2 linked regions of the Drosophila melanogaster genome follow. The protein of the gene in region 2 purifies or fractionates together with the protein of the main gene of each other region. This does not show direct contact. Each region holds a gene or a part of one and is shown on either strand. Other genes may lie near its edges.

Region 1 (6,308 bases), on a different chromosome or scaffold from region 2:
TATTCGTCTCTCTTCTCTACTTTCAATATTGGGAAAAATATGAAATGCAATCAAGCTTTCAGTTTACTCACGTAGCACTCGTCGGGGTGTTGGGGTATCTGCTCCTCAGGATATGGATATGGATTTGGTTGGGGATACTGATCATCTTCCCTTTCCCGCTCCTGGTCCTGTCCCTGATCGGGATACGGGCTGGGATTGGGGCTTGGTTCGGAGGTGGGTTCAGCTTGTCCCTCGACTGCTGGCGGGTATTCAATGTTGTCAGCGGTGCTGTTGGACAGACAACGGTAGCCGTTGCCCTCGAATCCCTCGGTACAGTAGCAGTTGAATCCGCCCTCCGTGTTGTCGCAAACGGCATTCTCGTCGCAAACGTGGGAGCCCGTCGCGCACTCGTCTATGTCCAGGCAGACCTCCACTCCACGCTCGTCCAGCTGGGCAGCGAAACCGTGGTAACAGTCGCACCGGTAGGTGTCCTCGTAAGGAACGCAGACGGAGTTCTCTACGCAATCGGCGGTACCATCGTTGCAGGCATTCGATTCGGGGGTCACGCCCACCTTGCTCATGGCGCCAATGCGCAGAGCCTGGTCACGCTCCACATAGTCGAGTGCCACCTTGGAGATCTTCTGCAGCACCTTGGTGGCACTGGGATCTGCCTCGTCATCGCGCAGGCAGCTGCGATACAAAATCCTTTGCTCCACCTGCAGAAAACATGAAATTAACATTTAGATATCATTTTAACATATTACTTAGTTATTATTTATTGGACACAACAAATGAACGTTGAAAGTAAGGACTTGGTCTTACCTGAAGTCCCAACACACGCTGCTCCTCGGTAATATTTATATTGAGCACCTGGACAGATTTCAGTTCTCCAGGTCTTTCGAAAGTGTACTCCTCCACGTAGTCGGGTAGGATTAGGACTGCATCCGCTGCCACCGCCGGAACCTCACCATAGATCTCGATCTTCACGGATAGCTGGTCCCAGTAGTTGAGGCCCTCGAAGGTCTGATTCACATGAAGATTCTCCCCAGAATCGAATTGCAATCGAGATACATGGGTGTAGACACCGCCGGTTAGTTGGTATCCATTGGCGACACCACCCACCGACTTGGCGAACAGCCAGGGCACGGTGGTCAGCAGTGGGAGGACCAGTCGGAGCTGGGCGCCCAGTTCGGGAGTCAGGGGATTGATGGTGGTATAGGTGCGGCCTTCGCTAGTCACCACATACGACTGCAGCTTGGCTTCCTCGCTGACTGGCTGCTTGTTTAGCTCTCCGGTCAGTGTTCCTGTCACTCGGATAGGTTGATCATTAGCCAGGCAGGACTTTCCATTGCCATAGAATCCAGATCCGCAGACACAGCAATATCCTTCGGCTTTGTCGTGGCACTCGGCCTTCTCGTGGCACTGATGGGCGTGGGCCTGGCAACTCAGAGCCAAAGCGGGGGACTCTGTGAGGGACTCGGCATTGTCGGGAGACCTCACGTTCTGCTCGTTCTCAATGGGAGCCACTTCGAACAGCCAGACTCCGGGAACACCCAGGTTGGTGCTTTCGCTCAGGAAACGGGCCTACAGAGTGGAAATGGATACATAAATACATAGGAAACATAGTCACATAGAATATAATTAGTGCTACCTAATTATAATATATATACTACACTTACATTCTCCGATCCGGAACCGTTCAAGGTGTAGAAGCGTCCATCTTCAGCCACGAAACCCGCCTGGGCACGAATGTCGGGGAGACCAAGTCCAGCTGTTTCGCCCTGCAACCAGTTAAGACCGCCATCCGGATAGATGAATTGCACAAACGTGCTCTGCTCGTTGGCAATCAGTGCCACCTGGAAGGTGTTCAGACGGTCCGTCTTGGAGTCAAAGTAGCCCACATTGCGCCACGTGGCCACGATCACCTGACGAGCCTCGAATTCAGACTGGCTGCTAAAGGCGTAACGCACCAAACTGGAGGCCCTGTCGAGAATACTTTGTTCCTTGGACTCGAACAGGGAGATCGAGGTGCCCTCATCACTGAACGAGGTGTCCACGTTCGAGTAGAAGGCCGCTATCGAAGCATATTCCAGCGGAAAGGGCTGGTTCAGGTACTCGGGAAACTCGGAGTTGAAGGTGAGGATGCCATTGGTGTTGATCTAGAGAATACATGAAAGAACTATAAGTAACACAAATAAGGAATATTCGGGAGTTACATTTAAAAGATCAATTGTCTTCGTCCAAAATGGTATTTATAAATGTTTCGAAGGCGATACTCAATTGGTGTACTCAAGGTGTTATTGAAAATGTTTTGCTTATTTCATTTGAAAGATATCAGGATCATTTTGTTAAGTGTATGGGAATAAGGAAGTTCCACTTGGGATCGTTTGAAGTGGAAATACTTGGCCTCCATATGGCGTGGCAATCAGTGCGCCCCGTGAAGTGCTAACGGGCCACTTAACTCCTAATGGCCATTCGCCTGGCGGAAACAAAACAACAACAAGCCATTAAGGAGGCGGCAAATGATCTGACGAAAGGATGTGGCCCGAGATGCATATTAAGTGATCTGCTGCAGTGCCTCCTAATTGAGTCCTCGGCCGACATCCGCCTAACGATCCGCCTAAAATTAGCTGCAACTCCATCGATGCAACAGGCAATCTGAATAAACAACCCGGAATGGGAGCACAGGTGTTTCCGAAATGCCTTTCTTGTGGTTGCCGACAGGCCGTTGCATAAATCATGTCACTCTGGTGGCTCCACGGATTCCGTTCATCGCGACGGGGAAACACGGATGTCTGGAAATTCCGGCAGCTTGCCTGGTGATTTGTATGGATGCCCAACTCCACATGGATATCCAACATGCCACAATGGGTGCTAAATTGAGGTTGGGTAAGCAAACATCAAATACTTCACTCCTGCTTAGCCTCTATTTCACACCTCAATTGTGCAAAGTATTCAAAATGTTTAAATTGTTGTTAAAATTGTTTCTATTTTGCTTAAAGTGGGTGTTGCATTTGCAAACAAAACGACAAGTCCAGATTAGGAAACAAATGATATCATGAAACATAAACACGACGAAACATAAAATAGATTATTATTCCCCTCAAATGTCATTTGTAATGAAATGCAAATTCATATCCTCGAATGATCTTTTCAATATTTTTTTATATCAACATTATTTTGAATTCTTTTCGCTTAAAGGAATCTAGGCTGGCATTGTTCTCACGATTTTGCCGACTGACTGACGGACTATTGACGAGTTTATTTATACCCTTTCGTAATGACTTCGACACCAATCCGACCCAAGCGCTTTGGAGCTGGCTGGCTACAAGCTACTGGCTCCTCCGATCATTTCAAGCATTCCGCCAAGGAATTTTCAACGAAATTTATGGATTTCTATGGCCATAAAGCTCGTTTTGGCCGTTCTGATTCTGTGCCGCGTGCTATTTCTCTACGTCAGACACATAAATTTAGTTAATTAACTAACAAAATGCAGAGCAGATAAAAAAGCGCGTTCAAAAATAGGCGACACTCGCAGTAGGCTCTCAATTCGGAGAACTCATAACTTTGGCTGCCAAGTGCCGAAACCACTCAGACACTCGGATGCCCGGAGCTCTGGCATCTGGCACTTGGCCAAGGCGGCAAAGCGACATCAATGGGTTTGGTTTTCGGTTTTTGGTCTTGGACCACCCTCAAGTGCCTGCGGATTGTAGCTGCGGATGTGTGGCACTTGAGGATTATTGGGACACGGTGCGAGTGGGGTGCGTGTGTGGAAATCGATGTGCGACCTGTCATGTTTTGCCGAAAATTAATGTCGCCTATAAATACGCGGGCACCACAACAAAGCAGGCTCCCCCAGAAATAGATGCATGGTAGTCTAGAAACTATTGAACCGCGTTGTGTTTGCATATAGATTGCCCCTTATCAACGCGTGCTTATCACCTCGTCACCCTGCACGCTGCAAAAATTCATTCAGTGCACAATATTTGAGATACTTTGTAGTCTCACATAATTCTGCATCTACTGAGGGGGGTATGCGTGCTAGGGGTACTCACATAGAGCTGCTCGTACTGCTCCCCGTAGAAGTGAATGGGCTGCTCCAGTTGCAGCACGATCGTTTCGCTGTCGCCCTTGGGCAAGAGGTGTATGCTGCCCAGGGAGCCATCCTCGAACTCGTACAATTCCGAGGCGCGCAGGCTGTCCAGATAGTGCTCGAACTGTCCGCTGACCAGGATCACCGAGCTGAGCAGCAGGCAGGCGAGCAACTTACTGCCGAAGGTCGGCATTGTGGCGGGATATGGATGGGTCCTTCCTGACTTGTGTATCTCTCTACTTCTTTGACTTTGACACGCGGGGATTTCACAATTTCGCCACTGGCATTTTCACACTAGACACAAAACCGAATTCCTAAGGCACTCAAGTTTGATCCAAAAATATAGGCGATTTATAAATAAATTGTGGCACTATCTATTCGTCGAGTATATATAGAGGTTTATGGCGTGTGTATAGTTTGACAGAATTTTGGAACTGTCGCTCCAAGTGGCGGCCCAGCTCCTCTGCTTTTGCTTCTGCTTTCTGCTTTACTTTTGGTTTCTGCTTCCTAAGCACGCGAGCAAGGAAACCCGAACGAACTGCACGGTTTGCCAACAGATTCTCGACTGATTGGCCGTCGTCTCCGCGGTGGATTCTCCTCGACTCGGTGCTCATCCGTCCGTTACCATCGAGTATCTGTGTGAGCTGCTGGCCGGAGTGCCGTTTAGTTTGTGCACGTGTGTGTGGGTGAGTGGCGGAAAGCGAGAGTTTCTCTGGAGGCCCCAGATACCATACCGAATAGGATCCACACACTGGCTGCACTCCAAACCAGATGCTGTTCGATTATGACAATTCTTTATTGATGTTTACCATCAACAGTCGTCGTTGGCATGGGCTCTCGCTTTGAAGGAGTACGTAATTATGGCCAAATAAAATAATCAGTTAACAACGGAATATTGTCAGTATGGGATTGCTCATTTATTTGGTGATATTCAGAATCAGCATTTTATCATTTTAATAGACTCCATCATATGTAAGAGTAAAGGTTTAAAATATAACGCCCATAGCATACCAACTATTGAACGACTTCATAGATGTTAGTCTTACTTTTGTTAACTTAGTCTTACCAAAGACCCTAGAATTCTAGTGTCTTTGGTCTTACCACGTATTTCGTGTTCTAAAAAGGTAGTGTTTAGTGAGATTTACAGATTCTCCGGACGATATATTATAAAACATATAACCATATGGTCACCGTGGATATAGAAATTAGTTCTCCCAAGGGAGACTTCTGGGCCGGGCTTCCGTAACACATTGGTGCTACTAGATAGTTTCGGGAGTCCCAATTCCAGGGAACTGAACTTGAAGCGGGCACGTGCCGCTTGATTGCTCTTGCCCCCCAAAATTCCCGCAGCGCATGCCACCGTGAAGCGGCGCGTGGAAAGGGCGAAGCGTATGGATACCTTCTCAACAGTCACACCGAGTCCACACGCATATCCACACCCAATCCTCAGAGGGTGATGCGCACTCCAAGACATTTGAGCAGTGGCGCCAAAACAGCTGAGTTAGAGTTTTTTCTTTAAAATGGTTTTAAACTCAGTGAAACCTGGCATATGAATTAAAATCGTGCATAGTTATTTGTTAATTTAGTTTTGGCTCAAGCAATTCGTCTTAATTTTAAATAATGTAAAAATGAAAAGGTAAGGAATAAATTGGTGCTAGCAACCTTTCTAAATAATATTAAGACTCATTTCATTTTTACATTACATTCATTCGGAATCAATATTAAAATGTTAACATTTAAATAAAAAGCTAGTTCTTAAGATCTAACATCACTAATCCAGAGCACTCCCATTCCTTGGCGGGGTGTGTGTGCGAGTCGAAAATAAACAAATGGTAAACTTCTGAGGCAGCGACGCAACGTCTGCTCCCTGACTGATGAGGATCGGGTGCGGGCGAGGAGGAGGTGGAGGAGTAGGAGCAGGAGGAGCTGGAACCCAAGATACAACTGGAACCAATGACGGGGGATGGGGGTCCGTCAGTTGGACTATTTATGATGTATTTCTCGGTTAATTAGTTGCAGCTGAATGCAGCGGAATGGGTGTGGGAATGGAATTGGGATCGGGAATGCTTCCGCATGCATTTGCTAGACATCATACCAGTCATCTTCGCCCGACCAGAAGACCAATGGAAAGTGCGTGGCCCAGGGCCCGGGTAATTTTTTGCTATATTTGGATATTGCGCCGCTTGATCGGTGATGGATGCCTGCGCCTTTTCATCTGCAGTGCGTTCCAGGAACT
Region 2 (7,843 bases):
CATTCCGGATAGACCCTCCAAGCCAGGAATACCATCCTGTCCGTCGCAACCGTCTTTACCGTTGATACCAGGGGCTCCGGGATTGCCGGCGGGTCCCTGGACTCCGGGTACACCAGCCTGACCATGAAGACCAGGCGATCCGCGCTCACCCTTATCACCACGCTGTCCGTATGGGCCGGGATCACCCTTCTGACCCTTGTCACCAGATGGTCCCTCCATGCCAGGGAAACCCATTTCGCCCTTCAATCCCGTGGGTCCAAGAGGGCCCGGCAGACCACGGTTGCCCTTCTCCGCTATGCACTTGGGCACACAGCCCGCATATCCGGCCGTACAATTCTTGGGCGGCAGATCGCCGCGCGCCACGCCGGCAGAGTCTACAATGTCGTAACTGTCGTCGATTGGGAACTTGGGTTCATTTCGATTGTAGTGTTTCACGGAGTCCTGAATCGAACCGGCCGTACCAGCCGTCTTCCAAAATTGCTGCGGGGAAAAGGAGTATATTATTCAATGTCCAGATGGATGGCATGGGCTACGGTTATCTTACAGCGTCGGCACCGACTAACGCTCCCGCGATCACAGCGGCGTATAGCAGCCTGCAAAGAAGTCGACGAAGATCAGGAGGGTTAGGAACTGTGCTTCGTCTTATCAGTCTAGCTATTTAATTGGACATAGCTCTCTTCGATTGGCAGCTCTCTCTTAAGCCGTCAATTCAAGAGAGTTTGCTAAAGGCGCTTAAGAGAGAGCTTACAAGTTTTTAAGAGATCGCGCTTCGAAAAATTAAAAAAAAATTGAACAAATGTGATGTTTTAAATTATGTATTTTTGTATTGCTGATATCTAAAATATTAATTTAAAAACTAATATTTGCTCTTTCTGAATGGATTAGAAAGAAAAAAATTGGCAATACTTTTTTAGGCCATAACTGGGTTTTAATCATTAAAAATTTCAAAAAAATTTTAAATTTTTAAATAGAGTATTATTAGTTGTTAAGTAAGTATTATTGTCATGGTTTTTAATAATTAACAATTGCTTTCTTTGATTAACTTAAATTTTTGCAACCATTTGTATTATTTTTCTAACTTTTGTCATTTTTCTTACCGCTTCCAGAAGGGCAACATGATGCCCTATGCACTTAAGCCTGCACAATTATTTGCTCTGTCCTCGTCGAATTTGAAGTTTATATGTTGCCGTCGCTGGGCCTGGAAAGATGAGCCAGAGAATTGGGCACTTTAATTTCGCAACAGTTGCAAAATAAATTGGAAATATTCTTAGAGGAATATTATTTTATTTAATATTTGTGGGAAAATCGAGCTGGCTTATTTTTTTTCAACGATTTAATTCTTGTATTTCGTTTCATTTCATTTCCAAGCATATACACGCGACAGTTTGAGAGGCACTGGAACTGGTACGAGACTCGCACAACGACTTGCTGGATATTTTCAATTAATAGTACGCGTTCTTCCTGATTTAATTAAGATATTTTATGTTTATATTATTTTGTTGTTGTAAAAGCTCAGTTCCTTACAGGAATCAAATCCTATTTAAGGGACGGTTGGACGGGACGGGACGGGACCCTAATGGAAACACACATTCACAACCGAGCGATCCGATCCGAACCGATCACCACTCCACAGCGCTGACTAAAGACTAAAACCAGCTGGCCAGATCAGCTCCGGACCGAGACCAGACTACTACTTACTCGGGGAGACGGAACACGACTAATTATAGTATAAGTTCGAGCGATCCAAAAGCCAAACGCCGATGCCCCGATCTTCACTCGTCGATCGTTCGGCTTGGCACGATCTCGACGATCGGGTCTACGGCTCATGTACACTATCCGTGTGATTCGACGGGGATTGGATGGGCATCGGATCGGTTGCGATGGCTGCGAGGTGGCTGGTGGGAGGTGGGTGGTGGCACCATGGCATATAGAACGGATGGGCGACGGGTCGTCGTATGTAGCAACACTAATCCCACAAGTTAACATAGTCGCTGCGGAATGAATGAAACTTGGCGATAAGTCCGTCGCTGCTGTTGATATGCCACATGCGACTTAAGTTGCTCAATAGCACATCAGCTTCGTTCCGCCGGAGCACCTCCCCGGGAGCACCTTCAACCAGCTCTCCGGCTCCCAGATCCCAGCTTCCAGATCGCAGCTACCAGCTCCCATCTCAAAATTAGCTGATAGCCCCCGCCCTGAGATCGGGCACATGGCTTCCGTTTTGGTCCGCCCCTGCGGCTCCTGCTTTTTGGACTTTTTTCGGTGCTCGGGCAAGGGAAATTCCGAAGGCTTCGCTATCAGGCCAATGTTCTAATTATAACCTCATCAAAATTTTGTGTGTACTTACAATAAGTATGATAAAAATATCTAAAACTTAAAGGATAACAAAAACATGTGTAAACATTTTATTGGCATATACTTTACTTTTAATAGGATTATAGTCCTTTTCTAAGTTTTAAAAATATTCTCTAGCTTTCAAAACTGATATAATTAATTTGACAAAGGTTTTGAAGATTAAATCTCTTTTTAAGCTTTACTTGGTATATTTTTATTTGCTATATATAACTGATTATTCAAATCATTCCATTCTTTTCTAAAACAAAATATTTTAGTTTGATTGATTTTAGTATGTCGATGCAATTATTGTTTCAAAGAATGGTCTTTTTTCGATTTTTTTTGTATCTATCTACGCTTTATTAAAACTAAATGTATCTTAAATGAAATTTCATTTTAAGTGCCAAGTTTTATACATACTTAAAATAATTATTGTTATTTAATTAATAATAATTATTGAGATCCATTCATTTTGATAGTAAGTACGACATAATACTTACTAATACCGCTCTAAACATAAATTAATAAGATTTTAAGTTGCCGAAGTGCGACATCATTTAATATCCTAATCACAGCAGTTTCCTGAGAAGACATATATTCAGGCCACTGGGCCATATCCGACTTGCACGTACCCTAGAACAAAAGAGCTTTCCCAACTAGAACGAGGCCTTGATTATAGCCGCCCTATCAAGACTTATTTCAAAACACTGTGGCCCCGAAACCCAAAATCAGGCTCGAATTTCGAAAGGTTCCCATTTGGCTTTTCTGCGTCGGACTTATTGGAGCTTAAAACTCATGTTCGGTTTTCAGTTGATCAGTAGTTCGTTCTAACAGGAAATACTCAGCCATATCCGTCTTATCAGCCTCACATATGCCATATATGTAAGTACTAAATGAAAAAGCCTTAACCTAATCACGAGAAGCGCGACAAACAAACTAGCATCTAATTGTATTGAAATCACTAGGATAGCTGGGATTGAGTATTAGAATAGCTTTTACCCCGCAAGAAATATCGTGTGTCGCTAGTTGGAACTATCATTTAAGTTATATGCGGATGGTTATTATGTATAAATGGTATGTGCCTGTTAGTAATAGTTAGTAATAGTAACATTAATTAATAAATTATTTAATAATTTGTATTTTCCCAAGAGACGTGCCTAATAAAAAGAACAAAGTGAGAATCTGATTGATCATACCCCTTCAGGGATACGGTACCAAAATGGGAAATAGAATTTGTATGCTTAGAATCGGGCCGCTTTGATTTGGTTAGAGGGCTCTGCTCCTCATTTCCTCGTTTCAAGGCGTCAAAGTGCTAAATTCCGAACCATAACCAGAGCCCGGAGTCACATCTACATCCAAACCTCCATCCAAATCTCCATCCAAAACATCCATCCGGGCCTGTCCCTGGCCTGTGCCTACTACACTCACACTGCTGCAACTTCCACTTGCGATAGTATTGGTGGGCCGAGAGCCGATCGCGAACGGCCGAACTTTTACGAGTGGAGCCGAGCGTGCCGAGTGTGCGGGCGAAGAATTCGAATTTCTTTAGCGGGACTCGTGTTTAGTAATACTTCGAACGCTAGACGATCTCCACATGTGGGGAGAGTGCTGTGCCCGACGATCGCAGCAGCAGCAAATCAGCGTTTTCTGTTAGTTTCCCACACTTTTCCGATCGTCAACTCTTTAATACTTGATTTGCTAATGTCGGTTTTATTTGAGGGCATTTTATAAGAATCGAAAATTCTTCAATTTCTAATTTTATGCTTATTTCGTTGGCAGTTTCGTGTGTGTTTTAAGCGGGGAGAGACAGAGGCAATTAGATAGAGTGCGACATAAATACGTTGCGGATAGGACCAAAGGACCCAGCGAGGATGTTACCCAGAGATCTAAGGCATCTCTCGGGTCTTCTGGGCGTCGTTTATCTGTTGGGCAGCCTGGTTTCCGTTACCTTGGCGGATGGAAAGGTAAGTGCAATCGAAATGCTTAGTATAATATCCAAAAATTGACAGCTCTTTAAAGACTTGGATTGAGAAATGTATAGATTGTAGTGCAATAACTTTTTTCAACTTTTTTTTATGTCTTAAAACAACTTAGGAAATGATATTTAAAATAAGGCTCTTACTATTTAAAGTGCTTCTCAGACCATAACCGTTTGAATTTTATGAGATTGCTAAATACTAACCAAAGTGCTTGTCAAACTGTATATGCCTATTTCATTAACGCAGCATTTTTAAGTTACTTGAAGCTTATAACAATAATATTCTTAATTAACTTTGAAAGAAAATTATCATGTCCACCAATGCTCTCCAAACTGTATCCGTAGTCATTGATTTCGCATTTACATAGTATCAACCATAAACAACTATGTAAAATTGGGTCAGCTCGGAGCTCGACTCTTAATCACCGCTGCTATTGTTATTGTTATTCTGCAGCACTGCACTCTCTGATTTATTCACACTTCCGGCATGAAAACATCGCGTAGTTGCAACTCTTTGGCTTCGACAGATAATTCCTTTCAGCTCGTTCCCGATTCCGGGGGTTCAATGAAGTCCAAGTCCAGCTTGGGATCGATTATGTCATTAAATAATTTTGGCAACATAATTTTGTAGGTGAAGAGGTTGGCGATAACGCCCATTGATAACCCCCCTAATCTTTCAATTTGGAGGACATTGCTTTTTTGGCATACCAATTGTGGTTCGCCATTGAACGTTTCCGGCTGGCAATTAGAATTATATTTAATAACCGCCAGATTAGTCGCTTAATTGGCATATAATCATTTGTAAAATGAAACGGGAATGAGTATGAAAAACAAAGAATGCGCAGGTTCTTAGTTATTACCCCAATTGAATAGATTATTATTCAAAATAAGACACATTAACCATTGAGGTTGCGAATATTTCATTTATTTATGAATGATTTTTTAAGCAAACACAAAAATGATTTGACACAAAAGTGCGAGGCAAACGCAATACTCAATGTTGCCCCAAAAACTATGCACTACTTTTTAACACCGAGTTGCCCAATTCAGTGTACCTTGTGTATGTACCAAATTAAATTGAGTATTAATATTTAAATGGCTAGGGATCACAGAGATTTCGTAATGCTGGATGAAAAATGGAGCACATGCCGGCGGCACCTACTTTTTGATGGCATTCGGCTGGTCTTATCAGGCTGCGACTGATCTACACACATTTAATTAGACCTATTGCTATGTTGGCGGCATTGACGCCATTGATAGCATGTTCCGCTGATTGCGACATGGCTTTCTAGACTCGAATTTAGAATAAATACACTTTAGAATTGAAACAAGTGTCGCCAGCAGTCGCAGAGGCTATCGGCTTGGCTTGACTTTATTGCCTTTACCAGAGATCAGAGTTTAGTTTTCATACCAGTTGAGCAGTTAACTCAATGCACAATTCGTGCACTCAATTCGTTGGGATCTGGAAATCTGGCCCCATCGCTCACGTGTTTGCCATCATAAGTGTGCAGCTCGTCTGACGACTTTGGTAATCCGATCCACAGCTCTTTTCGCACTCGGTTACGTGGTCAATGCCATGGGCTTGGGACCCTAACTCCCGGATTCCGAGTGAGAGCTGCCAGGTCTCCAGGTCTTGTGGGTTGCCAATGGAGGACTAACCGCAAAACGATGAAAAACTTGACTTCGCTTAGCTACCGTTGCTCGTGTTACCCTCACGATAAGCGAAGGCTTACAAAAAAAGTTGTTTCACTTGCAACAGTATTTGAAAACGATATAATTAATTATATCCTGGGTGCATTAAGCTAATCTGAATAGAAGGGGATTCACATTTTTCGCTGGAATTAGTTTTGATTAGAAACACACATTGTATGTATGCCATTATTTACAATCTATAAAGAAATTTATAAAGGGAATTATCTGCTATGAGTAAGATATATTCATACTTAATGTTTTTAAGGGTATTTATTCCAGCATCATTTGAATATACTTATTAAACAGTTAACAGCTCTCAGGCAATGGCTCTAAAACTGTTCTCGCAATGGGTTTTGCAACCAGTTTGGCGCTTCATTAGCCGAACAAATGATTTCCTTTTCCGTTCCGCGAAAAGAGAGCCGATCGCTTAAGAGCCGCTTCAATCGAAGAGCAGAAGAGACAGAGAGAGATGAACTCATCGATTGCAGATGCAGCTGAGGCTTTCAATGAATGAATTTTGATAAATGGTCTTTATCAGTCGCTCTCCCCACTTTACCACTGCACCACTACCCCATGCACCCTTTCTCTTTTCTCCTGCACTTGCCCAGCTATAAATACATATATGGAAATGCCGTTATTGCCTGTGAATAAGTGTGCTCTTTCGCCAGTGCGCTTGTGTGTGTGTGCGCAGTTCGATTCCGACAATTAGCAGCAGCTCAAGTGATCGGTGAGGGGCTCTCTTGGAGAATCACTGGAATTGAAATGAAGAAGGGTTGCCGGGGTATGGCGACTTCAGGGGGTGAGGGGGTCGGCAATCTTTTGACGTTCTGCACCATTTCAAATTGGAATTGAAAGTTCTTGGCTGTTTGTTGTTTTGTTGCTTCTGCGGCGGCTGCTGCTGCCGTCCAAAGTCTTAGAAACTTCGATGGTGCACTTAGAAAAATCTTAACTACATACAAAACAATATCAAATAAATACATAATCTAAAACCTTCGAAATTTACCATGAATTCCGAAATTTTCTTATAAAAAGCTTGTAAAAATATTGTATTATATTGAATTGGTTATTTAAGAAGAGGAGTAATTTCTATCAAATTATAAAATTATGATCTAGCGGGTTTGATTATTGCCACTCAACCATTTCTTTCCGTGCACCTTCCCTTTCAGTCTTCAGTTTCGTTCTCCTTGGGTTTTGTTTATTCCCGATCCTGGTCCAAAGTGACCCGATGCTGCTGGCATAAATCACTGACCACCGCCGGCCAGACTGAGCGGGGCCAACTGGTGATGGGTGTCCAGCTGGTGGAGGGGATTTCGATCCAACTGAAGACCGCCCAAGAAAACGAAGAGCGGGGGCAGCAGCTCGGAGCTCGGACAACAATGATCATCATCTCATTGTTGGACTCCTTGTGGAAGTTTATTTGCGTGCTTGAGCTGAATTGTTTGGCGAGTTGCATTTCAATTTGACTCAATTATTTATTTATCTGCAACTGAATGCGGAAATTATGCGGAGTCTCGCTCTCTATATGTACGTGTATGTGTGTGTGTGTGTGTGTGTGCGATATGGACAACATGTCGTATGAGTGATATGGGCAGGGGCCACTTAGTAGCCGCCTTTGTAATGAATTTCGTGAATTGAAACGATTATTTATGAGCGAAGCTAGTGAAATTGGGTTATCAGTCATCTGTCTCATAACTGCAGCTCGCTCTTCTCCTTTTTTTTTTGCCGCCTTATCAGTCCGTACGGGCTCATGAAATTGATATTCATCTGAGCATTTGAAATTCTATACATATATACATATATTTAGACACTATATGGCATGTACATATGCATATGTGTACA

The links. The genes of interacting proteins can lie anywhere in the genome.
Region 1: the proteins of vkg (region 2) and Ndg purify together in Drosophila melanogaster (affinity purification with western blotting, with the first as the bait; one study listed by BioGRID). This does not show direct contact.

The regions. Positions count from the first base shown.
Region 1 is NT_033778.4:10,312,231-10,318,538, reverse strand, and holds the start of Ndg (nidogen), read right to left. Parts: upstream 4,649-6,308; 5' UTR 4,266-4,648; coding exon 4,035-4,265; intron 2,139-4,034; coding exon 1,659-2,138; intron 1,564-1,658; coding exon 802-1,563; intron 696-801; coding exon 72-695; intron 1-71. UniProt on the Drosophila melanogaster protein: Cell adhesion glycoprotein which is widely distributed in basement membranes. Involved in cell-extracellular matrix (ECM) interactions probably by connecting the laminin and collagen IV networks.
Region 2 is NT_033779.5:5,023,492-5,031,334, reverse strand, and holds the start of vkg (viking), read left to right. Parts: upstream 1-3,143; 5' UTR 3,144-3,216; intron 3,217-3,889; exon of another isoform or gene 3,890-4,037; intron 4,038-4,113; 5' UTR 4,114-4,205; coding exon 4,206-4,298; intron 4,299-7,843. Other genes in the region: Col4a1 (collagen type IV alpha 1), read right to left, coding at 1-480, 545-593, 1,098-1,117.